Nothobranchius furzeri: one gene and its partners. The protein of the gene in region 3 purifies or fractionates together with the protein of the main gene of each other region. This does not show direct contact. Links are inferred from orthologs where the notes say so. Each region holds a gene or a part of one and is shown on either strand. Other genes may lie near its edges. The genes, in order: gemin2, snrnp70, ddx20, gemin5, snrpe, gemin4 and ago2.

What was found.
Region 1: the proteins of ddx20 (region 3) and gemin2 purify together in Homo sapiens (affinity purification with mass spectrometry; 6 studies listed by BioGRID and IntAct, counting the BioPlex papers as one, with this or other methods). This does not show direct contact. The link is inferred for Nothobranchius furzeri from reciprocal best matches to the Homo sapiens genes DDX20 and GEMIN2.
Region 2: the proteins of ddx20 (region 3) and snrnp70 purify together in Homo sapiens (affinity purification with mass spectrometry; 4 studies listed by BioGRID and IntAct, counting the BioPlex papers as one, with this or other methods). This does not show direct contact. The link is inferred for Nothobranchius furzeri from reciprocal best matches to the Homo sapiens genes DDX20 and SNRNP70.
Region 4: the proteins of ddx20 (region 3) and gemin5 purify together in Homo sapiens (affinity purification with western blotting; 6 studies listed by BioGRID and IntAct, counting the BioPlex papers as one, with this or other methods). This does not show direct contact. The link is inferred for Nothobranchius furzeri from reciprocal best matches to the Homo sapiens genes DDX20 and GEMIN5.
Region 5: the proteins of ddx20 (region 3) and snrpe purify together in Homo sapiens (affinity purification with mass spectrometry; 4 studies listed by BioGRID and IntAct, counting the BioPlex papers as one, with this or other methods). This does not show direct contact. The link is inferred for Nothobranchius furzeri from reciprocal best matches to the Homo sapiens genes DDX20 and SNRPE.
Region 6: the proteins of ddx20 (region 3) and gemin4 purify together in Homo sapiens (co-immunoprecipitation; 7 studies listed by BioGRID and IntAct, counting the BioPlex papers as one, with this or other methods). This does not show direct contact. The link is inferred for Nothobranchius furzeri from reciprocal best matches to the Homo sapiens genes DDX20 and GEMIN4.
Region 7: the proteins of ddx20 (region 3) and ago2 purify together in Homo sapiens (affinity purification with western blotting; 3 studies listed by BioGRID). This does not show direct contact. The link is inferred for Nothobranchius furzeri from reciprocal best matches to the Homo sapiens genes DDX20 and AGO2.

The regions. Positions count from the first base shown.
Region 1 is NC_091758.1:40,480,325-40,484,490, reverse strand, and holds the start of gemin2 (gem-associated protein 2), read left to right. Parts: upstream 1-1,366; 5' UTR 1,367-1,487; coding exon 1,488-1,609; intron 1,610-1,686; coding exon 1,687-1,768; intron 1,769-1,866; coding exon 1,867-1,956; intron 1,957-2,062; coding exon 2,063-2,149; intron 2,150-2,307; coding exon 2,308-2,424; intron 2,425-2,666; coding exon 2,667-2,711; intron 2,712-2,782; coding exon 2,783-2,851; intron 2,852-4,166. UniProt on the Homo sapiens protein: The SMN complex catalyzes the assembly of small nuclear ribonucleoproteins (snRNPs), the building blocks of the spliceosome, and thereby plays an important role in the splicing of cellular pre-mRNAs.
Region 2 is NC_091758.1:13,870,934-13,874,433, forward strand, and holds part of snrnp70 (U1 small nuclear ribonucleoprotein 70 kDa), read left to right. Parts: intron 1-132; coding exon 133-187; intron 188-259; coding exon 260-324; intron 325-411; coding exon 412-474; intron 475-1,547; coding exon 1,548-1,629; intron 1,630-3,500. UniProt on the Homo sapiens protein: Component of the spliceosomal U1 snRNP, which is essential for recognition of the pre-mRNA 5' splice-site and the subsequent assembly of the spliceosome. SNRNP70 binds to the loop I region of U1-snRNA.
Region 3 is NC_091755.1:61,016,249-61,020,185, forward strand, and holds the start of ddx20 (probable ATP-dependent RNA helicase DDX20), read left to right. Parts: upstream 1-1,137; 5' UTR 1,138-1,203; coding exon 1,204-1,399; intron 1,400-2,035; coding exon 2,036-2,130; intron 2,131-2,310; coding exon 2,311-2,479; intron 2,480-2,558; coding exon 2,559-2,673; intron 2,674-2,792; coding exon 2,793-2,935; intron 2,936-3,035; coding exon 3,036-3,174; intron 3,175-3,317; coding exon 3,318-3,376; intron 3,377-3,937.
Region 4 is NC_091750.1:72,369,291-72,372,790, forward strand, and holds the end of gemin5 (gem-associated protein 5), read left to right. Parts: intron 1-288; coding exon 289-436; intron 437-538; coding exon 539-658; intron 659-729; coding exon 730-940; intron 941-1,010; coding exon 1,011-1,265; intron 1,266-1,347; coding exon 1,348-1,510; intron 1,511-1,782; coding exon 1,783-2,197; intron 2,198-2,713; coding exon 2,714-2,801; intron 2,802-3,110; coding exon 3,111-3,275; 3' UTR 3,276-3,326; downstream 3,327-3,500. UniProt on the Homo sapiens protein: The SMN complex catalyzes the assembly of small nuclear ribonucleoproteins (snRNPs), the building blocks of the spliceosome, and thereby plays an important role in the splicing of cellular pre-mRNAs.
Region 5 is NC_091743.1:2,209,477-2,213,462, forward strand, and holds the start of snrpe (small nuclear ribonucleoprotein E), read left to right. Parts: upstream 1-1,186; 5' UTR 1,187-1,326; coding exon 1,327-1,380; intron 1,381-3,182; coding exon 3,183-3,209; intron 3,210-3,286; coding exon 3,287-3,349; intron 3,350-3,986. UniProt on the Homo sapiens protein: Plays a role in pre-mRNA splicing as a core component of the spliceosomal U1, U2, U4 and U5 small nuclear ribonucleoproteins (snRNPs), the building blocks of the spliceosome.
Region 6 is NC_091753.1:62,515,987-62,520,158, forward strand, and holds the start of gemin4 (gem-associated protein 4), read left to right. Parts: upstream 1-1,372; 5' UTR 1,373-1,468; coding exon 1,469-1,478; intron 1,479-1,811; coding exon 1,812-3,776; intron 3,777-3,865; coding exon 3,866-4,022; intron 4,023-4,095; coding exon 4,096-4,172. Other genes in the region: dhrs13b.2 (tapasin-related protein), read right to left, coding at 1-151, 246-521, 596-772, 877-922. UniProt on the Homo sapiens protein: The SMN complex catalyzes the assembly of small nuclear ribonucleoproteins (snRNPs), the building blocks of the spliceosome, and thereby plays an important role in the splicing of cellular pre-mRNAs.
Region 7 is NC_091751.1:26,608,895-26,612,967, forward strand, and holds the start of ago2 (protein argonaute-2), read right to left. Parts: upstream 2,801-4,073; 5' UTR 2,611-2,800; coding exon 2,595-2,610; intron 952-2,594; coding exon 904-951; intron 1-903.

The DNA of each region.
Region 1 (4,166 bases), on a different chromosome or scaffold from region 3:
TATTAGATTATGGGTGTGTGGCATATAATTCAGCAGCAAAAACTACTCTTTCAAAATTAAATTCTATCCAGAATCAGGCACAGAGACTCTGTACTGGAGCATTTAAAACAACCCCAATAGCAGCGTTACAGGTAGAGACGGGTGAGATGCCAATAGCAATCAGACGAGAACGAATAGCTTTAAATTATTGGGCAAATCTTCAGGGTCAGGAAGAAGATCATCCAACACGAGACATACCAAAACCTTGCTGGGAGAAAGAAAAGAAGGAAACAACAAGTTTTGGATGGGTGATGATCAAAAAACCAGTAGAACTTAAATGAGATCGGTTTACAATCAGTCAAAGAGTTCCATTACCTGCTGTTCCGCCATGGATTCTTCCTGAGGCGTCTGTTGATTTATCATTATTAGAGAGAAAGAATATGGATAAGTCTTTCATACTAAACTCACATACAGCACAGGATTATATCGATCACTATTATAACTATGTAAAAATTTATACAGATTCTCGCAATCCTGTTAGCAGTTCGATGGGTGGAAGAAAACAGACCATTATTCTCAGTTATTTGTTCAGACTCCAGCTCATCATTAACCAGTTTAACGTGCAGCCATTCAGGAAGCAGACCAGACATACTCCTAGAGATTCAGCAAACACTTTATAGAATAAACACGATGGGACTTAAAGTACATTTTTTATGGATTCCAGCTCGTTGTGGAATCAGTGGAAATGAAGGAGTCGATAAGATGGCTAAGGAAGCTACAATAAATACTTCGGTTCAGTTAGATGTTCGATTTTGTCAGAAAGAGATGAAGAGCATAAAAAGGCGAGAAATGAAGAAAAAATGGCAAAAACAATGGGAGGAGGAAAGGAGGGGAAGATGGTTGTATAAAATTCAAAGAAGAGTAGGAGAAATAAGAAACACTGGAAGGAGTAGGAGAGAGGCGGTGATCATTTCTAGACTGAGGTTTGGACATACTGGGTTAAACAATACGTTATTCATGATGGGGAAACATAATACAGGGAAATGCGATTATTGTGGAGAAGAAGAAACTATAGTTCATGTTATATTACAATGTCGGAAGTATCAGGCAGGAAGAAGGACATTGATTCAAAATCTTAGACAGATCAAAGTGAAACTAGACCGACAGAATTCAAAAAGCGACTGTTTTCTGATTTTATTTCAGTTTTTAAAAGAGATAAGGATGTTTGGGAGAATTTGATGTATATATGTATTTGTATATATATGTGTATGTATGTGTGTGTATATATATGTATTTTTTTGTTCTTTCTTTCCCGTGTTTGATTTTGTTTTATGAGCGCTGTTCCAGACCACACTCCACACCAGTTGGTGGCGGTAATGCACCATTCGTTGTTCGCCAACCGCCAATAAAACACCAGAAGAAGAAGAAGATGGCGACTGTGCTGTAGTGAAACTTGCGTGTTTTTCATTACCTGATTCGGTTCCGCTGTTCTTTTACTTTATTAGAACATGAAGTCGGACGTGGAGGAGTTAATGCCGAGGCTCCTGCCGCTGGAGACCGGAGGCGGGAGCGGAAACCTGGACTTGAGTGGAACCCCCAGAAACCCCCAGGAGTACCTCCGACAGGTCCAGTATGTTCGAGCCGAACCGTCTCGAGAATCAGAACCATGTTCGACCACGGAGCTTTATAAGTTTGGTGTTTCATTAGGTTGGAGGCCTCTTTATGCCCGGAGGTGGTCGTTGCTCAGATCGATCCCACAAAACTGAAGAAGCAAACTGTTAATGTGTCGGTAAGTGACACACACACACACACACACACACACACACACACACACACACACACACACACACACACACACACCACATGTTTAACATGTTTTGGTTCCAGGTAGCAGGATGTCATGCTGCTCCTCAGGGCTTCTCCCCCAGCCTCAGGTGGCAACAGCAGCAAGTCAGTAACTTCTCTGACGTCAGACAGGTGAGACTTCACAGTAACACACGTTACGAACATGTCCACACAGTAACACACGTTACGAACATGTCCACACAGTAACACACGTTACGAACATGTCCACACTGGACAGTGTCCTTTAGTCACTTTTGTTTCTCAGAGCATCACCAAGAACAGGCAACACTGGAGGAGCCAAATTCTGGATGACAACGTGCAGATGGTGAGATTTTTATTCACTACTCAAACCGAAATCAGCATTCTTTCAAGGGGAGACAGAAATCCCATGTTAAGGTGGATTTGAAGCACCTGTAAGAATCTTGTCATGCAGCATCACACTGGAGGTTTGGTTTATGCAAGCTTGACGCTGGTGTCTTACAGCCGAGGCTGACCGATGAGGAGGGCTGGAAGAGGTTTTGTTTAGGGGAGAACGTTTATCAGGGAACTTCATCCGGCCCGACGGATGCACACCAAGAACCAGCATTGGACTACGGCAAGGTTATACAACTGTTTACACCTTATTGCCTTTGTGAGCGCTTACTCCTCAGAATGAGTTTACCTGATTTAAATCGATCAAAGCTGAGATGTTTCCACATTCTACTTCTCCCACAAAAGCAAACAATCTAAACAGATAAAGTGTATTTATTTAATCCTTTGATGATCCGCCACTCATGAAAATTCTGTGGCACCTTCATGAGACCAAGGAAGTGAAGTCTCACTGATGGTTTGTTTGGGTCTAGATTGGCTTCCCTCCCTTCCTGAGCATCGTAAGCAGACTAAACCAGGTAAACGGGGGTCTACGATGACATCCATGTTGTTTTTAGCCAGTTTAACAGTCTTAATATTTTTGTCTCAGTCCACAGTTCTCATGTTGTTAGATGTTCTGATCAGCTGGTTTGAAGAGCGAGAGTTTGTTCCACAGCTGGTGAGTTTGCTTCTCGTCTCCAGCTGGTTGACAACAAATCTAATGCTAGTGGAAATATAGTTTTTTAAATTTTCGCACGAAAATAAATTGTTAGAACTCCAGGGCCCTCATTCATCAAACAAACTTATGCACAGATCTGCACGTAGGAACAGTTTTACACACTGCATACATGTAGCGACATGAATGGCCATATTTGTGACCCAAAGGTCACACTTCCCCAGCTAGGTCACGCTGTCCTGGCTGAACTTCTGTCCACAGATTATCCATCACAGGAGACGCACAGTCTTCTAGAACCATCTTTAATCTGACTGCCTTTAATCTGTCTGCTGTTCCATCCTAAGATGAAGGACACTTCAAGATTTAAAATAATCATTTTTAATAAACTCTTTTCACTGTTTATTACAAGGTTCATAAATAATCATCACGGTTCATTATAAATGTATTTAATTACTGAAATGAATTATTATTCTTTGGTTAATAATTATTATTTATGATAATCAGTAATGTTTACCAGTGTAAAGAAGGTCATGTACACTTATACACACCATGCAGGACACTGAATTCAGGGTAAAGGTAACCACCTCACATGTCTTTGCTCCATAACCAAAGCTTTCTATCTCTGAGAGGGCGTGTTCTGAGTTTTAATAAAACCCAAAACTCCTCAGTTCAAGCTGACAGTTCTGAACCAACCAAAACCTCTCCGTGGCACGAGAGTCCCAGAGGACAAGGGTCGGCCGCCCGAAGCCTCCACTAAGCTGTTCTGTCACGCTGATAGAATCGCTCCGAATAAACGCCACCTGCACCAGCTGACACAAAACTCCTTCAGAGTTAAGACGCAAACTCAACACCTGTGTGCCAGCGGCAACTCTTGGACCAGAGAGTCGGTACCACTCGCGCCTTCCCTACCGGACCGAGTACCCAGAGGCTGACAACATCCTTCCTTGACCTCCGGATCCACACAGAGGGTCGCCTGATGGGTGAGGTAGAACACAGATTGCGTCTGATGCTGTCATCTCTAAGAAACAACTTAGTTAGCTGCAAAACAAACTCTTTCACCCAGAACGCGTTTCTCTCTGAAAGAAACCTTCTGAGATTCCAGTCACACATCCAACACACGCATTTCATTTTAGCTTTCATCCAGACACAGGTTTGCTTTTAATACCAAGTTTTAATATCAAAGCTGTTATAAATTGTCATCTTTAAATTGTTCGTTATAAATTCTTAACTTTTTAAACCTGACTCTTCTTTGAAATGAAACACAGAATGGTGTAAATTTGGTTATTGAACGAGCAAAGATTCCTTTAAATATTCCGAT
Region 2 (3,500 bases), on a different chromosome or scaffold from region 3:
GAAGCCCTCGTTTCTATATTTGACACCCATCAGATCATCATTCAGAAAACGCATCAGCGGCAGGTCTGGATCATGTCACGCATCCTTTTGTTTTCCTGTTGTGACTCAAGAGTTTTATGTCCTGTTTTTCAGAGGCGGGAAAAGATCGAGAGACGCCAGACGGTTTTGGAGACAGAACTGAAGCTTTGTGAGTGGGACATCAGATGTGTGCTGTGGTGCAAGGGTTTATGTTGACGCTATGTTGTATGTGTGATTTCAGGGGACCCCCATAATGACCCAAATGCACAAGGGGATGCGTTCAAGACGCTGTTTGTTGCCCGAGTGGTTAGTATGAAACCTGTCCTTAGTGTTAACTCTAGAACGAGTGTGTCACCGCTGCTAATGCTGGGTGTAACCCCGTCTCTCCTCCAGAACTATGACACTACGGAGTCCAAGCTTCGTCGTGAGTTTGAAGTCTACGGTCCCATCAAACGAGTGAGTTCATGGCTGATCTGCAGAATGCATTTGCATAGGGATGCACCCATGTGAAAATGTGGGCTGATTTTAATATGATGTTGCGTCCCATAAGTGATATTTACCAGTGTTTTATTAAAAAGGGTTTTTTAAAGAAAGATTGCACCTCATAGAAAACGTACTGTCATTTGTCAGGTGCACCTGAATGTAGCCTCGTCCAGAACAGAGCTATTAGATATTTATTAGGGGTTCATAAGTATATTACTGAGGTGGCCCTAGAGGGTGATGGGGTGGGAACCCTGTCTGGTCAAACGGCAGACCTCACCAGAAAGGTTTCTAACTGGGACAAATCTGATATCTTTGCTCTAATTTCCTTTAATAAATGTACATTTTTATTTTTTAATCATTTACAACTCAAACTTTCAACAGCTCCACCATTTGTTTAAATTTAAAGACCAGTGGAAATTTGATGTGCTTAAAAATTTATATTCAGTTCAGAAGTGATTTTATGACAGAGCCTTATGTTGCTTGTAATCTAAAAATAGGCAACAATCACTTTGTGCACAGTTGCGCACGAGGGTCCTGCCTCTCGCCATTGCAGTGGGGCGATGCAAAGGGTTACAGGAGGAGCAGCGTTTGTGTGATTTTAGATGTTCTAGAAGATGAATTTCATTCCCTGTTTATAGTCCCGATGTATAACAATAGTCTCCGATTGTCCGTTTGAAAAGATTCAGAGTAAAAATCCTGATGTATTTTGGTCATTTAATGGCAAAATGTGAAGTTGGCTTTTTGATAAATACATATAGTGTTAAAACCTAGACAACAGGTACTTCATCCCGTTGTGTCTAATGATTTTGTAAGCGTATGTCCATTTCTTCTTTTGTAAATAGTGTCTTATGAGCCTTTATGGACTGGGCACGTGTTGTGCATGACACTTAAGTAAAATGTATTTATTCATTCATGTCCTCAGCTGTAAGTACCATAATCGTACATAAAAGGTGGGATGGTGTTGTTATGGGAACCGGGCTGACACCGCTCTTGGTGTTGGTCTGAATGGTTGAGCTAACCAATGTCTTCATGTTTCTGTCTCCCAGATTTATATAGTCTACAACAAGAAGACGGCAAAGCCCCGCGGCTATGCTTTCATTGAGTATGAGCATGAGCGGGACATGCACTGTGAGTACCAACCTCTCTGCAGCCAGCTCATTCTGTATGTCAGCACACTCATGGGGTCATCTCTGACAAAAGGGACTTTTTTCATTTAAATTTACTTTAAAAACTTTTTAGCTACAGTTGTTGGGTGGACCATCTGATGGGGCAGATGATGTCATACCATCCAAGTCAGCAGATGACAGTTTACAGGCGAACCGTTTGCATGAAGCCATAGTCTGTTGTGCGTGCGTGTTTGCTGGGCATGTCTGATGTGTTGGTTAGTTAAAACCTGGGTTTGTGGGAGGGTGAGGCAGAGTGATCTATCTGGGGAGCGTAATAACGGAGGTCTGAGTGTGTTTTATCTGTGAACCTGAACATGTTTGCTTGTCGAAGGGCACATTGTTAACTGAGAGGTGTTGTAGTTCTGTGGAAGAGGCGCTCTGCTGGTTGGACTGTGATGGTAAGCTCAAGGTCAGACTGGACACCAAACATTGATGGAGCCTTTTGCTCGACACTCGTTGAATCCCACTTTGTCATATGACTAGCTTTGTGAGGTCTGTCCATTTTTATTGCTAGTCTTCAATTCTGGTCATGGTGAGTCACGGTACAACTCATTTGGTAAGATGGTTCTTAGTTTTTATCCAGTTTTGGTCTAAAGTGAACCAACTGTTATCTAAAGCTGAGTTTATGCTTCTTGGTTGGGTCGGTGCAGAGCTTCTAGTGTGACTACCATAACAGTCTGTAGAGGAACCCACCTAATAGCAGTGGGTGTTTTATCCCGATAGCTCTCTGTGCCTTTCAAACAATGGGGCTCGTGATCAGTGTAAACAAACCGTGTAAACAAACGTGCGTCGCAGAGTTGGGAGAAGGGACGTTAAAATCTCAGAGGATGCAGGATACAGGAATATGTTAAAGACGTCGGAACCGCTATGTGGACAGAATCAGCGTTGTAAACTGTTTGGATTCATGGGTGTTTCTCAATGTCAATTGCTCGCGGACCGTGTCGCTGTCAGCGGAGAGTCGATGCGCTCGGAACGCTTCCCTTCCATGCGTCTGTGTGTGGGGATCTCTAGGCGTGGTGCGGCGCCTGAGCCTGTGTAGGGGAAACACTGGCTTCCGATAGAAAACAGACGGTGAAAGTCTAGGATTAGAAAATCCTGACAGATCTACGTCACACTGTCACTATCATTCATGGACTCACCATCTTGACTCACGACGGGAAAGGCTGTTGTTCGTTTAGCGACCAGCAAACAGCAGAGATCGTGTCCGCTAGTAGAAGCTAACCATTAGCAACTCCACCACACAACAAAACTCCTCCAGGCTTGTTATTTTTATCTTGAGAGGCGCTACATAAAAGATTTGTTTTCTTTCTTTTTATTTGTGGAGGTAAAACATCAACGTTGCAAATCAGTAGTAGAGTGAATTTTTCTAAGCAAAACCTCTGAAAAGGAACAATAAATATTTCAGGAGTTCAAAACCTTTATACAATGTAATCATGCCCTTTATCAATAATTTAAATAATGTGTGTGTGATTTACATGTGTTAATACAGATGTGAAATCAATTCATGTAAAATAATGTGACTATTTCTCAGACTGCAATCGTATCACCAAAATATATCATTGTTGCAACCCTAGTTGTATCAGTGCGCCTGCATTTGCTTACCAGTATGTATGTGTGGCCTGTGTGTGTATGATGGGTAGGGCTGAAACAAATCATCGAATGGTTCGATTCATTAAATTCCTCAATTCATTATTTTTTACTGATTCAAACACTTTTTACTGGCGCACTATGTGCTGATCTTTGTAATATACAACTCTCTGATGACTTACTATTATTTTTATTCTGAGCTACTACAGCAGGTCTGAGATTGATTAAGTATTTTTGAATTTGATT
Region 3 (3,937 bases):
CCTCCGCATGGTCCTAGTGCCCGATTTGTATCACAGTATAACAATTTTGTACGGTAAAATCTGACGAACGACCGGAAAAATGGCACTTTGGGCACTTCGGACAAAAGGGGCAGGGTCTCAAGCACCCTCCGCACCCCCCTCTGCACGTGCCTGGTATGTAGACTTTATAAATTTGGCAAAGGAACTTTTTGAGTTACAATTTTAGCTAACTGCCTCTCCTGCCACGCACGGTCCACGGACGGACCCTCGCTAGCTGTTTACATTGATCATACGATCAAGTCCAGTAACATTAAAAATAATGAAAAGCATCACTGCACATGACAGAGGAATATTGAATGTGAAAGTGGCACTGTTCTTAATTAATGCATCAGAGGGTTAAGTTGCTTTGTGTGTGTGTGTGTGTGTGTGTGTGTGTGTGTGTGTGTGTGTGTGTGTGTGTGTGTGTGTGTGTGTGTGTGTGTGTGTGTGTGTGTGTGTGTGTGTGTGTGTGTGTGTGTGTGTTTGTTTATTTTCTCACAGCAGAAGAACCCAACACCAGCGCACTCCAGTGCTCCAGTCCAACAGCCTGAAGAGACATCATCAGCTTCAACAGATGTCTGTGAACATGTATGAGCTGCTGGCCCCATGGATCCTGCTGACTGGTCACAGCAGTTGAACAAAATGGAAAGTAGAACTTTCTTTATGATGACACTGATGTTTGAGTTTTCCTTTTGATTGCACAGTTTAATGCTGCTTTTGATTTTGCACCCCCCCCCCCCCCCATGACATTTGCACAACATTTTGAGTTGTTATTGTAATATTCTCAGGTTACTTATCTTTCAAGCTTACATTTAGTCTTCAGGCTGTTGACTTTAAAGAGCTGCTGTGTGAATATTTAAAATAAAAAATTAGTAACTAAGGAATAACTGTGGAGTTGCTTTTTCCAATGTGTGGTGGGTGGGTGGACTTGGGTTTGGGTGAGAGGCGTGTGGGCACGGGGGGGGGGGGGAGGTCTAATGGGCAGTCTCGCCTTGGGCACCAAATTACCTAGAGCCGGCCCTGCGCTCATCCTGCGTTGACTGCGTATATAAATGTCGATGGTTGACTGTCACGCTTTCAAGTCAAGTGCACCTCTCCTCCCTGTCGCTAGAGAGCAGTGTAACAAATCACTGCTCTAAAGCGCTGTTAACGTCGCTCTCCTTTGGCCGCTGCTGAACAACAATCATGGCTGCCTCCTTGAAGAAAGCCGCTCACGACATTAGTACCCGAAAGAGAACCGAAGACGTGCTTCTGGCGGAGGGGATCGACTTCACCTCTCTGCTCCTGTCTCCGGCTGTTCTGGAGGGGCTGTCCGCTGCTGGCTTCCAGAAACCGTCTCCGATCCAGCTCAAAGCGATCCCCCTCGGCCGCTGCGGACTTGGTGGGTCCAGAGATCAGATGCAAAGGCTAGACCACACGTGTGTGTGTCGCTGTAGCTTGTCACGATCAGGTTGTTTGAATTAATTTTCGTTCTGTCAAACAGAAGGTGACCTAAGAGTCACACCTGAAAACTGCAGAAACGCGTGAAATTACTTGTTTATTTAAATCAAAACATAATGTCGCAATGGTAGCCTGAAACACTCTGAACCAACTTTAGTGTGGGAATTAACTTAATGTCTGAACTGTACTGTTGAGGCTTTAGTTCCAACTCCCATCTGCTCAGTGTGTACAGAGAACAGTTGGTGTTACTTTGTATTTCGATCAGTGGATTATAGTTTTAGCAGCTTTGCATAAATATTTTCACTCCTCATTTAAATTTTACACCCAAGGGAATAATTCTTAAATGTAATAAAAACGTTATGAGTGAATAATTTCAACAGACGCACATTAATATGAGCCTACGTTTTGGTATTAGTTGCCAAACTTAAAAAAATCCCAATTTTAGGTCACATGATATGAAGCAGCATATTAACTGCCCATTTTGATTGATTGATTGATTGATTTCACCCAATTAATTCAAATCTAAGCTACGATTGTGTGTGTCTGGAGTCTGACTTTTTTAAATTTGCTGTTTCAGATCTGATTGTGCAAGCTAAGTCTGGCACAGGAAAGACATGCGTGTTCTGCACCATTGCCTTGGATTCCCTTGTCCTTGAAAATCCAGCTACTCAGGTGAGTGTTGCATGAGATCAAGAGGGAATTTCAGTTATGCTTCAATTGTAAATTACTTTTTTGCTAAACTTCAATTTGCCACCAGCAGATGATCAGAAACACTCTGGTTTGGAATATCTTAATCTCATGATTAAGATATTTTGAAGTTTTAACACAGACCAGTCTTTCTGCCTCCTGCAGGTTCTTGTTTTGGCCCCTACGCGTGAGATAGCTGTACAGATTCACTCGGTGGTGATGGCCATTGGCTGTGCCATGGAGGGCCTGGAGTGTCATGTTTTTATCGGGGGCCGACCTGTGAGTCAAGACAAAGCCCATCTGAAGAAGTGTCACATTGCTGTGGGCTCTCCCGGTAAGAGGCTGGAGGGATGGAGCTGTATCACCGTGCTGCTCGTTTGTTTGGTCACAACATTTTTGCTTTGCACGCTCAGGTCGCATCAAGCAGCTCATTGAACTGGGTATGCTGTCTACAGCCAGCATCAGGCTGTTTGTTCTGGACGAGGCTGACAAGCTGCTGGAGGAGGGAAGCTTCCAGGAACAGATTAAGTAATTTGGACTTAGTTTCTTTTTTTATACTGATGTTTAGCACCAGGCTGCAAACAGCTGAGATCCAAACACGGAAGTGATTGTATTTGAGTTTCACCCATCTTTCTGCTGTCTCTCAGCTGGATCTTCTCCTCGCTGCCTGTAAACAAACAGATGCTTGCACTTTCTGCCACCTACCCAGAATCCCTTGCTCAGTACCTCACCCGCTACATGAATGAGCCCACCTTTGTCAGACTGAATCCAAGTGACATGGGCCTGAAAGGTAATGATCTGAAAGCTAAAGGGAAAGCAGTTTCATAGAAGAAATCCACCCATTATGGGTTATTTTACACTGTATAATTTTAATATATTCCTGGTGTCAGGTCTAAAGCAGTATTACAAGCTGGTGCCCTCCCATCCTCTACCTCACAAGATTTTTGAGGAGAAGGTGCTGCATTTATTGGAGCTGTTCAGTAAAATCCCCTTCAACCAAGCCTTAGTGTTTTCAAACCTGCACACAAGGTAACTACAGCTTTAACGGTCTTCTTCCTCGTTACAGCTGCTGTTGATTATTACTAAAACAGACTAACAAAAAAAAACACACATTCAGATTTGTAAGTTAAGATTCATCTCTGAGATGCTTCTGTGCTGGATTTCACCTACAGAGCTCAACACCTGGCTGACATCCTATCCTCCAAAGGTCTACCTGCGGCTTGTATATCAGGTGAGGAGGGTAAACTGTGGTTTCTAAGGAAGGTCGATTAATAGAACAGTTTAATTTGACAAATGGCACTAAAATGAAGAGTAAAGTGTGATTATTTAAGTCATTACAATAATAAAAACATAGTCAAATAGACAACAGAGAAATACTTTAATATGTTGTTTGAGAATTAGTAGTTTTCATTCATTCATTCATTTAGATGTGCTTGTTGCCAGTGATGAAAGGGAGTCTGATGTGCTTGGTATTGTGCTAAAGTTTGCACTCCCCAGGGCTTTTTGACCCTAATGGTAAAGTCTTACGCCAACACAAAAATACCGATTGTTTGCAACGATTTAGGTATCTACTGTCCCTATCGCTAGAAAAATACACACCGTCACTTTAAAGGGAGTCTATGCAACTCTTTCATATTTTAAAATAATTTTCTTGAGCCAGTATGTGCTAAAATGACCCGTTACAGGTTTAATGAAATGTCACTTGGACCATCACCGCCCCTGTGGACACAACACCGCACTTGCAAGTTCAGTTGCTGGTCTGGGCCCTGTTAGATCCCACTTAAGTCTTAGT
Region 4 (3,500 bases), on a different chromosome or scaffold from region 3:
AAATTTAAATGTAATGAACATTGGAAATACATTGGTCTGTGTGCATTGCATGAATATAATGTACAAGTTTCACGTTTTGAATGGAATTACTGAAATATTTTCAACCTTTTGATGATATTCTAATTTACTGGCCAGCACCTGTATTTCTCCAAACTGAGGCTGTTTAAGCCTCTGCCCCAGAACCAGGATGTCAGATGATTCGTGTTTATTCTGGTCCTGCCCGTGTGAGCTAAAGACCCGAGTCAAGTGTCAGAACATCGTGTCACTTTCTTCTTCCTGCTGTTGCAGCTGGCTTTGAGGTGTGGCGCCGGACGGTGGAGGCCTTTGTGAAGCAGCTGTGTCTGCAGGAGCAGTACCTGAAGGCAGCGTCTCACCTGCTCTCCGTCAACAAACCGTACCAGGCTGTGGCGCTGCTGGAGTCCAACAAGCTCTACAGGTTCTGAAGCGCTGGACCAGACGGGTTCACCTGTAGGAACCCAGGTAGAACTGAGTGGTTCTGATGTTTGTCGGATGCTAACGGAGCGGTTCTGTGTGTCAGAGAGGCGATCGCTCTGGTTCTGGCCCGGCTGCCGGCAGATGAAGTGGTTCTGAAGAACCTGTACACGTCTTGGGCCGCTGTGTTGGAGAGAGACGGACATTTGTCTGCTGCTGCTAAATGGTCAGAACCTTCAGAACTTATGTAGAGCATCTGCTTTAGTGAACTAACGGGTTCTTCTGGTTCCGGTCCAGTTACCTCGCTGCTGGCTGTGGTTTCGATGCAGCCAAAGTCGTCTCCAGAAAGAACGACGTTCCGTCTCTGAGGACGGCCGCCAGCCTGGCCCGGATCTCCGGAGAGGAGGCTCTGGCCCAGTCGCTGGCTCTGAGATGTGCCAGAGACCTGGCTGCTGCTCACGACTGGGTCGGAGCGCAGGATGTTCTGGGCTCACAGCCGGGCCTTCTGGTGAGAACCCAACCAGAACCTTAGCGGGTCGTTTCAGGTAAAGATGCTGTTTGACCCCGGTTCTGTTCAGGTCCACAGGATCCACCTGTGTGTGGCTGAGCTGCTGGCGGCGCTGCTGGACAGCTCCGAGGTCTTCCCTCTGGCTCCCGGCGCCTCCAGCCATCCGTGGGCATCGCCAGGTCAGAGATCCACCCTCTTTCTGGACCGGGTCACTGATGTGTGGGAGGAGGAGTTCGGTGTTGGAGCCGACAGCGCAGATGTTCTGCTGCAGGACCTGAGGAGGGTGGAGAGTCCAACACCCAGCACCAGCATCCCCCTCAGACAGGTCCAGTCTGGCCCGGCACGGTCCAAAACAACAAACTTTCCATTCTTTAAATCAGCTGAAGTGCATGTGTCTCTATCGTCAGGTTCTGCTGTACTGCTCGGTCCACCTGACCCGGGCGCTGCTGAGCTGGTTGGTGGACGACGGCCAGCAGCTGTTGGAGGAGCTGTGGCGGGCGGCGTCCTGGCTCCGAGACGAGGGACACTTCTGTGTCTCTGCAGAGTTCTGCAGGCTGCTGTTCCCCGACGGTACCGAGCCCATTCGGACCTTTCCATTCACATTCAGCTCCAGATGATCAGAAACCCATAATTCTGTGTGTGTGTGTGTGTGTGTGTGGGTGTGTGTGTGTGTGTGTGTGTGTGTGTGTGGCCTACCACAGCCATCTGCTGGTGGTGATCTGCAACCATAACCCAAAACCACTGATTCATCCTTTTGGACCCGTGTGCTCACCAGAGACCGGGTCAGAAGCTACCTTCTCCATTTTTACTCTTTAATCAAACCGAGCCGTTTTGTTTTCCAGGAGACATCCGGGTTTTCTCCAGGAGACATTCCAAAACTCTTCATCCCACCACAGAAGCATCCAGTGCAGCGGCCAGCAGCCTGCAGGCGATGGTCTCCTACCACCGTCTGTACCGGTTCTGGTGGAGAGACTCGGCGGGCAGACAAGACGTCCAGAACGGACTTCCTTCTGAACAGCCAGAAGACCAGCTGGAGAACCCAGATTCGGAGGAACTGGACTTTGATGTGTCTGTCCTTCTGTCGGAGCCGCACGCCATCAGTCAGGCTGCTCACAGATCTGTGAAGGAGATCCAGGACCAGCTGGCCGCCATGGTTCTGCAGCACAACCGCGTCCTGGGGAGTCAGCTGGACTCTGGGATCCAACAGGACCAAAGTCCCTTATCAGACGGTCCGAGCGGTGCTGATGCGGAGCAGCGGTGAGGCTGTTTAACACCAGTGTCTCTCAATTTGTCCAATTATTAGATCTAATTAGATCTCACAACTAATCTGGTTGTTTATTCAGATTATTAAACAAAAACTCAGATTACAGAATTAACAAGTTCAAGTTTATTTATAAAGCGCCAAATCACGACAAGAGTCGTCTCGAGGACCTTCACATAATAAACATTCCAATTCAGGTCAGTTCATTAAGCCAATCAGAAATAATGTTTCCTATATAAGGAACCCAGCAGGTTGCATCAAGTCACTGACTGTTAGCGACTATACGGCAATCCTCATGCTAAGCAAACATTTAGCGACAGTGGAGAGGAAAACTCCCGTTTAACAGGAAGAAACCTCCAGAGAATCCTGGCTCAGTATAAGCAGCCATCCTCCACGACTCACTGGGGATCGAGAAGACAGATTTCTCTCTCTCTCACACACACCCACACACGAAATGTCCCCAGAGCTAATCTGGTGCCTGACTTTTAATTTGACCTTTGTGCTCTGTTCAGTTCGGAAAACCAGGAGACGTTTCTGTCTTTGTCCACAAAGATGTCCAAATATCAGAAGGAGCTGTCGGACCTGCCCGAATCCATCAAGGTAAAAAACACACACACACACACACACACACACACACACACACACACACACACACACACACACACACACACACACACACACACACACACACACACACACACACACACACACACACACACACACACACACACACACACACACACACACACACACACGTCTCCAGCTGCTGATCAGGAGTTAAAGCTTCATGAGGCTAAAGCAAAGCGGTGAAAACGAGTTTCCTCGTCCTGCTTTAACTCCGGACGGACGTTTACTAAACATCGTTCATTTTTTGCCGACTAAGTTCTTTCTGGTATTTTTGCTTTCCAGATGTTCCCTCGCCCAGATGTGGTGGAATGTTGCCTTGTTCTCCTTCATCTCAGCCGGTCTTCGTCATCCGTGTCCGACGTTCTCCAGGAGGAGGCCAAAGAAATGCTCCGTAAACACGGAAGCAGCCGCAGCGTTCTGAAGGCCATGCGGAGACTCTGCTCCTGATCGGAGCTCGTCATGCGCCGCTGCTGTCAAATAAAGAACTTTAGTAACGAACCCGGACTCCAGAGGGTTGATTTCAGCCGTTCCCTCCAACAGGAAGGAGAACCACTGATGAAAATGAAAACCGTTTGTTTCTTGAGTTCTAGAGCAGAGCCCGACCCGCTCCATAAAGAACAGGACAAACAAAGAGTTTACAATTAAAATACAAAACAGTTTAATGTACAACAG
Region 5 (3,986 bases), on a different chromosome or scaffold from region 3:
TCCTGAAAGGCGACACCTTGGCCTGCACCACCAAGGGTCCTTGCCTTCCCCCCCACTCGCAGAGACTTGTCTGTCCTCGGCTGCTAATTATCAACCCACTTTCTCCTCTGTGAGGCAGGGACAAGCCTGTGTTGCATGTTATTAATACTATTGTGAACTACTCAAGGCTGTGTTCCTTGACTCGGCTCATCATGTTACAGGTTTACTGTGCACAACAGAGAAATGGCAGACCCCGTTTTTTATAAAACCACCTATAAATATCACGGGGAACGGCTTTGTCCAGCAATGGTCAGATTCAGGATTTAAAGGCCTTCTTCCTGGGAAAAGAGGGGCTTTATACACATCAAGATGAGGAATTAACTCTGTTTTTGTCCATCTATTAACCAAGTCTCATATTTACAAATGGACTGTAAAATCTGGAAAGTGACACAGCCCCATCTAGAGGCCAAAAGCCCCAGACTGACGACACACTACAAAATATACGCATACAACTTTGTTTTGACCCCCAGGAGGTATGAGCTCAACTCAACAAGCCAATCACGTGATCGGATCTAATCCTGGAACAACACCTCTGGGGACACAAAAGCCATCCAGACCACAGAGAAAAAACCCAAACCCATCAGACTTCTGACTACGTAATCAGATCTAAAGGTCTCAGAAAAAAGTCTGGCAGACAAAAGGAGCTCAGGAAAAGTTTAGTCAGGCTACAAGACCTTTTTTCTGAGACCTTTGATGCAGTGCGGCCTGCTCACTGCCTGCTACTCCCGAAGAGGAAGCGAGCCTTTGTCACTCACTATCCATCAGTCATCATCCAAGACACGGCTGAAGACGCTCTTCTATGATTTGGCTTTCAGATTGTGACTTTTTAAAGTTCTCTTTTATTGTGTGTTTGATTGTAGTTTTTATCTGCTTTTATTGGCTGATTTATTGGTGTTTTTATGAGTTTTATTGTTACTGTATTGTTATGCGCATTTGGTCAGCTCCCATGCTGCTTTTAAATGAAATAAATAAATTGGTACGGTATGAAGTCAGAAGTCTGATGGGGTTTGAATGAAACCTGCTTTTTTCCCTCCATGCTCTGATGTCTGGCACCTGAGGGTGTGCTAAAACGAACAGGCTGCTGCAGTAGAGTCCTCCGTCCTGCGGAGGCGCTGTTCCGTTGCTGTTTGTTAAAAATCGGTTAATCAGACCGGTTAAAGATCCTGCTCGCGCGGAAACCTGCCATTGTAGCTAGCTCTCAACGCGGGTCAAACGTTAAGGTGCATTTGGTCCAGAAGGTGCAGTTTTTGTTTACCGAACACATTTCGTTGGTGTTTTGCTGGAGAGATGGCGTACAGAGGACAAGGACAGAAGGTGCAGAAGGTCATGGTGCAGCCCATCGTATCCTTTGTATGATGGAGAACGCGTGAGTGGAGCTAGGTGTTTAGCAGCCTGGCTAACCGGTGGCCCAGTTCGCTGAACGAACGCGCGGATTCCGTTCCAACTGTGTGATTCTGGTGTTTATGAAAATTAATGAGATGATGCACGTGTTCCGCATCATGTCGGAGAAAAAGAAACGGCCCCGAGGCGAACTTAGCAGCAAAACTAGCGCCGCTAATGCTAATGGCTCCGGTTAGCTGTACCGCTGGAGGTGATGGGAGCTTCTGATCTCCTGAAGCATCGGTTATCCAGAGTACTTTGTAGGACTTTGCAGTTGTAATCGAAAAGGTTCTGAGGACGCCATTGTACAGCTGCCCTCCGACCTCTTCGGGAAATGGCTAAAGGGCAAATTATTCTCTACTCTGACCACCTTTAATCTGCTCTAGCTCGAAAACGACACCACCTGCGCTCTTCAGCCCTGTACTGCAATATCCTAGACTAATGGCAGGTTACTCGAACATAGTTTAAATAGTCCATGATTCATCACATGTGAATTGGATGAACTAAACATTGAAGTTGGACGGTGAAGTTCTGAGTTTTAATTTTATTTTTGGTATTTTACATGAAAAGTTAAAGTCTGTTTATCTGCAGCACTTAATAGCTGATCAGTTTAATCCTGATCTTAATGGGCTTTGTAAACAGTTAGGCTCTGGTCATTTCTCATGTTTAACATTTTATTATCGGGTGAAACACGGGTCGCATTACCAATTTGGATTTTAATATTTAATTTCTACAAGATATACAGTCAGCAGCTATCAGATTATTAGAATTTAGAGTGAGCTGTTTAGCTGAATCCTTCTAACGAAGTGCCCCTAGTGCACACGCGATAATGAATCTTAAGTATACCTTGTTAGATACATGAGCTCCTTAAGGGCTCCTCTACTGAAAAGTACTTTTAAAGCCTGAATTAAACATCTGTCATATTTGAAACAGAGCTGTGAAACCAGGGACCACAAAAAGGTATTAAATGGCCTTTTAAGTAAAGCTTTCACAAATATCAGAGTTGATTTTAATTGTTCTGCTACCAGTGCAGAATAATCCAGTACAGGTTTGAAATGTCTAGGTATTGTTGTTTTGAAACTATGGCTGTTCAGTGTGGTCTAGATGCAGAAAACGTGCTAAAATCTGGTTTCTTGAAGTTTCACAAATCAGAAAAAGGTTTTACAAATCACAAATGATGTTTTTTGCAATCTGCTATTAGTCTAGAATAATCCAGTTCAGGTTTGAAGAGTGCAGGTGTTGTAGTTTTCCAGCCAGAGCAGATTAAAGATGGTCAGAGAAAAATTGGGCGTAATTGCCCTTTAGCGGTTTCCCGGATCTGAAGCCAACTTCAGCCTCGTCTTCCTCAGCCTTTGTGGTTTATAATAACAATAAGTGTAAACATGTTTGTTTGGGTCTAACTAAAGTAGAGTCGGTCAGTGGCATTGGCCCGAACACGAGCAGAACTCCTCTGTGCCGGGTCGGTTACATTGAGATTGTTTGGAGTGGAACCTGTAAGTGAAACCTGAATGAAGGCACGGCCCGAGATGTCCGACCATCAGTCCCAGCCCCGCTGTCATTTATTTTCAGGACATGGTTACCAAATCCTATGTACTGATTTTTATGTTGGCAGCTGCTGAGTGTAACTCTGTTACTTTAAAATGTAATAAGTTACTTTTAATGGCAATGAATAAAGGTAACACTACAACTGAGTACAAATGTAGGCTACAGACGTGCGTGTACTGTTACTGCTGAGCGTTGGTTTTCCTTGACTCTACCTTCAGAACCTTATCTTCAGATACCTTCAAAATGTAAGTTGCTATCCCTTTAGTTTGAAATGGTTTTATTTAGATGAAGAACCTCTAAGTTGTTCCCTGCCTGTCCCCAGCGCTCACGGATCCAGGTGTGGCTGTATGAGCAGGTCAACATGAGGATAGAGGGCTGCATAATCGTAAGTAATGGCTTTGTTTCATTCTTCCTTACCTCCATATGCAACAGGGATGCCTGATAGGTTATCTGCTGCTGGATACCCACGTGGATGGGCTGTTTTTCAGAGTGTTTTCAGGGCCTGTGAAAGGATTTTTTTAACTTTAAAAACTCACCTCACACGGCCCAGAGTTTCTCTAAAACTCATATTAAATATTGAACTTCCTCCGTGCCGTATTGTTCGTTGTAGGATGAAAACTTTACACTTGTCCTGCGGGAAAAGTTCAGCAGGTTCTTTTACGTTTTTGCTGCATTACAGCCTCATTTGGGTCCTAGTCCTTGATCTCTGGAGAACACAGCTGCACCATGAGAATATGAAAGTGTGTCAGGGCTAGGGTTGTCACGGTAACCGGTGTAGCGGTAAACCCCGGTAAAAAAGTTGACAATAGTAATAACCGTCTTGTTTTTAAAAAAAACTATATTATCTCGGTGGATTACCGTGGCTGCGGTGTAGGCGCGGTGACCCTTACCAGCCACCGTATCATCTGCTGAAGTTGCCGGCGGCACATGCGCACTTTGTTGTTTACAACCAAAACTTTCTTTAAGCTAAAGCTGAAATAATGGCCAGAGGAGGAGACGGCAGCACTCAGGACATTTATTAT
Region 6 (4,172 bases), on a different chromosome or scaffold from region 3:
AACAGTCGGGTCCTCTCCCCGCGGCGTTGCCAGTGCCACTCCACAGTGGTGTTTGCTCCCCGGTGGTCCACACTAAACTGGCAGTGGAGCTTTTGTTCAGATCTCAGGCTGGTTTTCACCAGTGGTGTTTCTGTTTTCATTACCATGGCAACTGTGAGACCAGATGGACAAAGACAGAACACAGAGAAACACCATCAAAGAACCAGAACTGGAGCTGTTGGCATTATGGAGTGAAACTAACTGACCTGATGTAGTGAGCATCTGTCCATCAGTGATGGGAACCCAGCTGAGGTAGTCCTGCTTTCCTGGTGGAGGCTGGTCAGACGGGTGTCTGAGGAAGCCGAGCACAGTGAAAAGGCCCTGGTTGTGTTTGAGAGAGACGGAGAACCAGTGGTTGTACTCCCTGGCCTTCTGACTGGGCCAGTGGACATAGATGCCCTGTGTGCTGTATCTACGCAGCTCACACTCCAGCTGTTCTGCCTCCACTCCCTCCACATAGTGCCGCATGTCCACCTTGGACCCTGCAGCAGAACACAGAAGAGTAAGGTGCAACCGTTGTCAGGTGTGTAATGGTGACCTGTGTCAGGTGGCTTACCTGTGACCTGAAAAGTGATGGTGCGTAGATCTACAGGAGCTTCTCCTGTCTGACCAAACTGCAGCACAGCATTTCTGGGGATCCGCTGGGTCTCTCTATGTCCTTCATTGTTCATAATCACCTGTTCATCTGTGAAGTGACAGGGCAGCCATAGTATCTGCTGGCTACAGTAGACCCCTGGAGACAGACCAACAACTCAAAGCAGCTGATCCGAGTGGGCTTCCTCCAAAAACACAAACTGTCCCCACACTCGCAGGGATACAAGCCTTCTGAAGACTTACCTGTCCAGATAAAACCGTAAATAAGAATCCTGCAGGGTGGAACCATGGTTATTCATCAGATCTACTGATCCTTGTTCCTGCTTCATTCAGCTGCACATTTATTCTCAGAACACTTTCGCTTTCATTTACAACGAAAAAAAACCTGCTTTGCATGCAGCTGCATCACGTGACGAGCAGAGACAGTTTCACAAGGAGAAATACTGCAAAACACTTTTAAATGTCACTAAAAGCGAGTAACGTTTAAACCATCACACGTAGGGCTGAACCGGTGTTCCGGTCTGGCGGCAGCACTGGTGAACGCGGTGTCTAGTCAACAACGCAAAACCTCGCAACAGTAAAAACAAACCAGTCAACAATCCAACAGAAAAGGCGAGGAAAACAACAACAACAACAACAATAACAACAAGGTGAAGCAGGTTTGGCGGTTTGCTGGGTTAATGCGGCTGCAGTACCGTATCTATCCAGGGGTGGCGCTGTGGGGACGCCTCGCCACCTGACAGCAGCCCGGCTTCCTGCTGGAAACCGGAAGCGCCTTTCCTGGTAACGAACTGGTTCACGAGGCGGGCGGGTGTATGTTCCTGCCTCCGCAGCCATGGACAAAGGTAATTATTAATGTTAGACATGTCTCGTGAACTTGCGCGAGCTTCGTCTCCAGTCGGTAGAGACGAACATGGCGCTAAACGCTCAGGCTGAAGCAGCAAGCTGCAGGTTTGAAGAGCCCTCTCCTAGCCAGTCGTTCGTTCTGGACCTGCTTCACCTGCAGCCTGCCCCCCCTTCACACACACACACACACACACACACACACACACACACACACACACACACACGCACACACACACACACACACACACACACACACACACACACACACACACCTGGATAACGCTGATCTCGGCCCAGCTCGGGTCTCAGCCTGTTGCTTGCCTGTTTTTCAGATTCCGCCGTGCTCCAGGGAGCTTTCCTCCAGGCAGACAAACTGTGCCTCCCCTCATCCCTGTCCCTGATGCAGAAGGCGGACTGGAGTCGTGTGAAGCTCCCGATCCTGCAGGCCCTCAGAGACACCTGTGGGCTGAGCGCTCTGGCCTGGCAGAAGAAGGTTGTTTGTGTGGTGTGGTTGAAGCTGATGAGCAGTGAGGCTGAGGAAGATGTGGAGAAGGGGTGGAGGGACAACCCTTTCTTCTGCCTCCAGAACGGCCTCCCTGACGTAAGCCGGGCTGTTCTGCTGGAGCTGGTGAAGTCACTCTCAGCTGCGCCGGTCTTTGCCCGCTTGCTCCTGCGTCTGCCTCAGCAGCAGATCTGCACCGAGCTGCAAACGCTGGCAGAGCATCTGAGGACGGATCCCAGTCCTGAAGACGTCTGCTTTCTGTTGGAGGTGTGGTGGGAGCTGTGGAAAGGCAGAGACAAATGTCAGACGCAGGAAGACAAAGACTTAGAGATGATGTTTGTCAGCCAGTTTGCACGCCTGTCCTCCGATTGTCCCAGTGTCTCGCCTCAGGCTGCAAAACGCTTAAAGCTGGACCTTCCTGCATCGTCAGCAAACACAGACGTTCTGCACGTTCTCCTCCATGCTCTTAAGAACATGAAAGATCAAGTATCTACTACAGATTTGTGCCTGCAGTCCCTGTTAGTCTGCCTCGACGCTCTTTACACATCCTTCCTAACAGACCCAGAGGTTGTGCTTCCAGTTGAAGAGAAGTTGCTCATCCTCTGTAGGCTTGTTGACACCAGAGGACAGACGCAGGCGTGGAGCCCCAAACTCCTTCAGGAGGCTCTGAGAGACCTGCGTGCTGCTCACTCACCAGCTCCTTTTCAGCCCAGCAGGATGACGCTGAGCCAAGCTTTGAAGATCGTAGCAGAACTCACAGAATTCTGGCTGGAACAGGATCTCCTGAGCGCTCCTGGCTGCTCCGCGTTCCTGCTGCAGCAGAGCGTCCAGAGAGTCCTGGCAGCTCTAGAAGAAACGGGAACATCTGAGCATGTGACTGAGAAGAGCACACTCAGAGGTCTGCTGAGTTCACTGTCTCTTCCTGCCGTAGAGACCCCCCCTCAGGTGCAGGCTCAGGTCGCTGCCACCGTCATCAGTCACCGCCTGGAGGACTGTGAGGAGTTTGCTGCGCTGTTTGCCAGCCAGTTGTCCTGGACTCATGAAGAGCTGTGGGTGGACTGCCTGGAGAAGAACCACACGGCCTTCACGCAGCCCAACACCCTCATCAGCCTCTCCTCCACCCTCGTGAGTCGCCTGCAGCGTGGGAACGTGAACACCACCTGGTGCAGGAGAGCCATTAAAACGGCTGCAGATGTCTTCTCTGCTCTTTCGTTAGAAAACCAGAACAAGGTCCTCGCTGCAGTACCGAGCCGCTCCAGCAGGGGCTTCTTTGGCTGCTCTGTCCCCTCGGCTGTGGCAGACGGCTTTGAGCAAGAGCTGAACATGGCCTTTAACTGCCTTATCCAGGGAGGGGGCGGGGCCTCAGCAGCAGTGTCCCAGGGCCGCCTGACCACAGCAGCCTCTCTGGTAGCTCGAGTGGCCTTTCAGAGCCCAGAGGCGGCTTTAAGGTCCTGCTGCCACGCCGCCGTTTTCAACAGGGGAGCCTTCAGCCTCATGGCAAAGATCCTGCAGCAGCTGCCTGGACTCCGCGGACGGAGGGGAGGGGAGGATGAGGCAAACGGAAACGATGTGGAGCAGCAGGAAGCTGGAGGGCGTGGTAGTCTGTTCTGTAGGTGTTTACAGACGGCGGTCAGAGGCAAGCCACTGTCCGCCTGTGAAAAGGAGCAGCTCCTCAAGTTCCTGTCTCTGCTCATGGCGCCGGGCCCGACGCTCCAGGGAGAGCAAGAGACACAGAGGTTCTTGTCTCCACAGGAGGTGGTCAACACACTGGTCCTGCCTCGCCTCTCAGCTGCAGGTCGGGGTCCATGCTGGCTTTAATCTCATCTGTGTGTGATCTGTAAACGCTCGTCACATTCTGCTGCTGTCCCATCTGTGTTTCTGCAGCTGAAGAGTCCTGCGATGCAGAACTGAGTCTGCAGCTCCTCCACGCTGCTTTGGCTGTGGGTGTCCAGGAAGTAGCCCCCTCCCCTCACTGGGTGTTGGACTGCTCTCCCTTCCCCCTCCTCTATATTCTGGCCCAGCAGTACAACCAGACTCTCATGTGTGTATGATCCCGTGTGTGTGTGTGTGTGCAGCGGTTGTTGTTGGGCTTCTACTCATCTGATCTCTGTTAGGTGCTGGGAGCGGTCGTCGGAGGACAGCGACCACCTGAGCTCCATGGACACCAAGGAGCTGCTGGAGTCGGTGCTGA
Region 7 (4,073 bases), on a different chromosome or scaffold from region 3:
AACTAGACATTTCTTTAATTTACTGGGAGTTTCAGTGGCCAGCACATTCAGTTATCCACACTGAGGTATTCCTATAAGCACAGCCAGGAAAATAAACAGGTTGTTATTATTATTATTAATGGGAGCTGATTATTCTAGAGGTCCTGTGATATCGGAGTGTGTCAGAACAGACACAGACTCCTTCACTGCCTTATCTCCACTCTCCAGTTCTGGTCATTCATACAAACACCCTTCGATGACCCTGATGCACCGAGCAGACGACCAGCTGACTGAAACACCAGTGACGTGCTTTCTCCCCCCAGGACTCTTACACCACAAAGAGAAGCATCTCAGAATTGTCTCTGGTGTCAATTTAATAGAAACATGTGGAGTTTTTATAAGATGTGCAGGGTATCTGCAGGTTTAAGGGAGCCAAATTTAGAAATTCACGAAAATTTTTATAGAAATAAAATAATCTTGTTTATTGGGTCTTTGGTAATTTAAGACCATTGGAAACTGGATTTAAGGATTATTTGTCATTTTTAAGGATTTTCAAGGCCTTAAATTTGGAAAAGTAAATTTAAGACTTTTTAAGGACCCGCGGATACCCTGGATGTGAGTAAACGGCTCACATGACATCAGCACTTTGCGTTTTGGCTGAACAAAGCTTAAATGACTACATCAGTATAAGACATACAAAGTCCTTCACAGAAAAAAAAATCAGCATTTCACAGGTATAAGCTCCAAAGCCCTGCTGAAATACTCTGTAGATAATTTAATAATCTAATCAGAAGTTAAACTGTGTAGAGTGCATCTCATTATGACAGAAAGGTGTAATATATATATATATATATTTATATATATATTTTTTTTTAATATATCATGTTTCTCCTGGGACCAGAGCTTAGAAGTAAGAAAGCTTACCAGAGCTTATGGACCCAGAAGAATGTGGCCTCTCCATAACCTCAGCACCTAGAGGGGATAAAATTATACGTTAGAAATGTTTAAGATCCAACTTGGACTCAAGTACTCTGTACTTAAACAAAAAAAAGCACCCAACACAAAACAGAAATCTAGTTTTACAGCATTAAATGCAAATAGAGTCAGAAATCTTTATAAAAAACCTGGAAAAAAGAAAAAAAATCTCCCATTTTAAATATTTTTTAATTCAGAACATCGTTAACTATTTCAGACGGTCTTTTATCACATCCCGGCCAGCACCATCGTCTGCAATGAAGTATGTCTAATCTACAAACACACAGACGGGATGAAACGAGCTGGTAATCTAGCATAAATGTAGCCACCCGTTCATAAGGAAACAGCCCAGAACTGATACAGTTCAGCTCATTGTTTAGTTTTATTTCAATAAGGCTCATGGAGAAGAACAAATGCCTGAAGGTATAGATGCAAATGAAATATGGCAGAGGTGATTATTTTCAGCCTCTGCATAAAAAAGTTAAACTGCTTATAAACTTTTCTCGTTAAATTTCTGCATTTTCCTTCCTACCTCAGCATTTAAGCAGATAACTAATCGCCATTATTCAACTGTTGATTATATATTTTTTAACCAATCCCAAGACTCCCCTGAAAATGAAGTTTTTAATCTCAATGGGACCTTCCTGGTTAAATAAAGAATAAATAAACTTAATTACCACCTGCCCTGCCAAAAAGAAACATTCTTAATGTCTTAATAAAATGTAGATGAAACATGTCTATATATATATATATATATATATATATATATATATATATATATATATATATATGTGTGTGTGTGTGTGTGTGTGTGTGTGTGTGTGTGTGTGTGTGTGTGTGTGTGTGTGTGTGTGTGTGTGTGTGTGTGTGTGAGAGTGAGAATGAGTTATATGACAGATGTTAATTTGAACCCAATCAAGCTAACTTGTTGTTGCCCATGAGCCAAACGTCATTAGTTATCCCCACTTTACTCTAACGAGCTTGTGGTTCAAAGCAGAAATCATCCCTTTTCCCAGAAATTATATTTATGATTTGCTGTATTTGTGTCGGATGTTAAAAATGTGGTCTTACGTGACAAACACATGCTTGCATTCTGGTTTTGTTTACATACATCGTCCCATCTTTGCTTAGGATGCGAGCAAAATTGCTCCAACTCTCGATTTTTTACAAATTTTGTGGGAAATGATGTAGAATGTAAATGAACTTAAACCTATTCATTTGACACATTTATGGTAACCATTTGTATGATTTGTGATTGAGATTAGGAAGCATGAGCTGCCGCTAAATGCTACTGTTAGCATGTGGCAGCTTTTAAAGAAAAAAGCAAATAAAACCCACCATGTGTGTTGAATATTATACAGTTTGTCGAGTGACTGCATTCCACCTCGTTTAAGGGCAGAGGAAGTTTACCAAGTTGGGGAAACGAGGTGCCGCTAAAGCTAACTTGGCTAATGCAGCTAAACTCGCTTTTGGTACTAACGCCTCCACTAAGTCGAGGATGCATCATTCGTTGAAGAACTTATTTTATAATAATAAGTTAATTAAAACAAAACCGGAGAATGTATCGGCAGTAGATTGATGCCGTTCTGGAAAGAAATCCATCATCCACTTAGTCGATGCTAATGGTTAGTAGCACTTACCTCCAGCTGAATACATTTTGTCGACTTTTTGAGCGTATGGTGGACGACCGGTACTCCACTTTTAGAAGACCAACCTCCGCCTAACCTCACACAGAACCTACAGACTTGGGTATTTCCAACAAACTAAGGTGAAGATAAAGAAGTTTAGTTAGCCAAGTGGTAAATATTGGAGTCTCTCATCCTCTGCACGACCCCATCCCCCCAACACAAAACGAGAGCAGAGACGAACGGAGGCATTGAAATCCCTGCGGGGCAAGAGAACTCGCTGTCGTCCACTTCCGCTGTTGGGCTTTCGTTCTCAAAACCGATCAAAGCTTCTGTTTTGTGTCATATTATCTGACATAGAATCATGATTTAATCAGTTTATTGGATTCACATGTCAGAAATGTAATTTGAATGAGCTAACTTTGAAACTGCACAAACATAAATGAAAATGTTAATGAATTACTCCTCACTATCAGACTGAAAAAAAGAGCTGCACGTTCAGGAATTCTAGTGTTTTTCTACTTGAATAAATAAGTTTTTCTGATACATCGTCTCTACCAATTTGTCGCTAACTCATTCAAACATCGCTCGTTATCTTTAACAGTGTTATTTGGCTCGATCATGGTGGAAAAGTTAATGCTCATGAATGGGGAGGTTTATCTTGCCAGCGGGAAGGTTCAGTGACATCAGACGCACGTTGCGCGCTCTTAGCGTCCATCCGAATCAAAAGCGAAAATTCGGAAAAACTATTCTTTCATTTTTCATCAGAGCTAAACTTTGATGCGACATCATTAAACTGATATCCGATGCGTATCATTTAAAAGTCACTAAAAAGAAAAAGTCACAGGAACAACTTAAAGACCGAAGAAGTATTTCCGGGGTAATAAAGCGGCTGAAATACACATTTTAGTTTGCTATGCATTAAAACATTTAATGTGATATGGGAAGCTTCAGCAATCTGAAATCAACTTGTTTGTGGTTTGCTTTTTATATTTTGATGGTGAAAATATTTAATTAAAACTTGCTTGGTGTAAAGTGCGCATGTCAGAAGTTGATTATGAATAAAACACTAAAATGATATGAGGAGAACTGATTACACAGACAGTATAGAGGTTCAGGGACTATTTATATGTGTTTGTTCTTTTTTCATGACGAGTTACACACACACACATGTTTATTAATTTTCAAAATGTCTAGTGACTATATCAAGCAGTCATTAGATGAGAGGTGGAGGACACCCTAGACGTGTCTCCATTCCGTCTCAGGGACACAGAGGGACAAATCACGTTGTTTTTGATGGGAAACAGGCTGTTTGGCTCCGTGTTATGATGTAGGTTCGGATGCACTCAAACTACGGTTTTTGGTAACAAAGGCAGACAAATTTACATTATGATGAACCAAAAAGGGTTTTTACATTTTGCAGCGGTTATCAGTCATGAAGTGTGATGTACATGATGCACATGCAGGTAATGTGGTCCTTTTACTGTGTCTAAA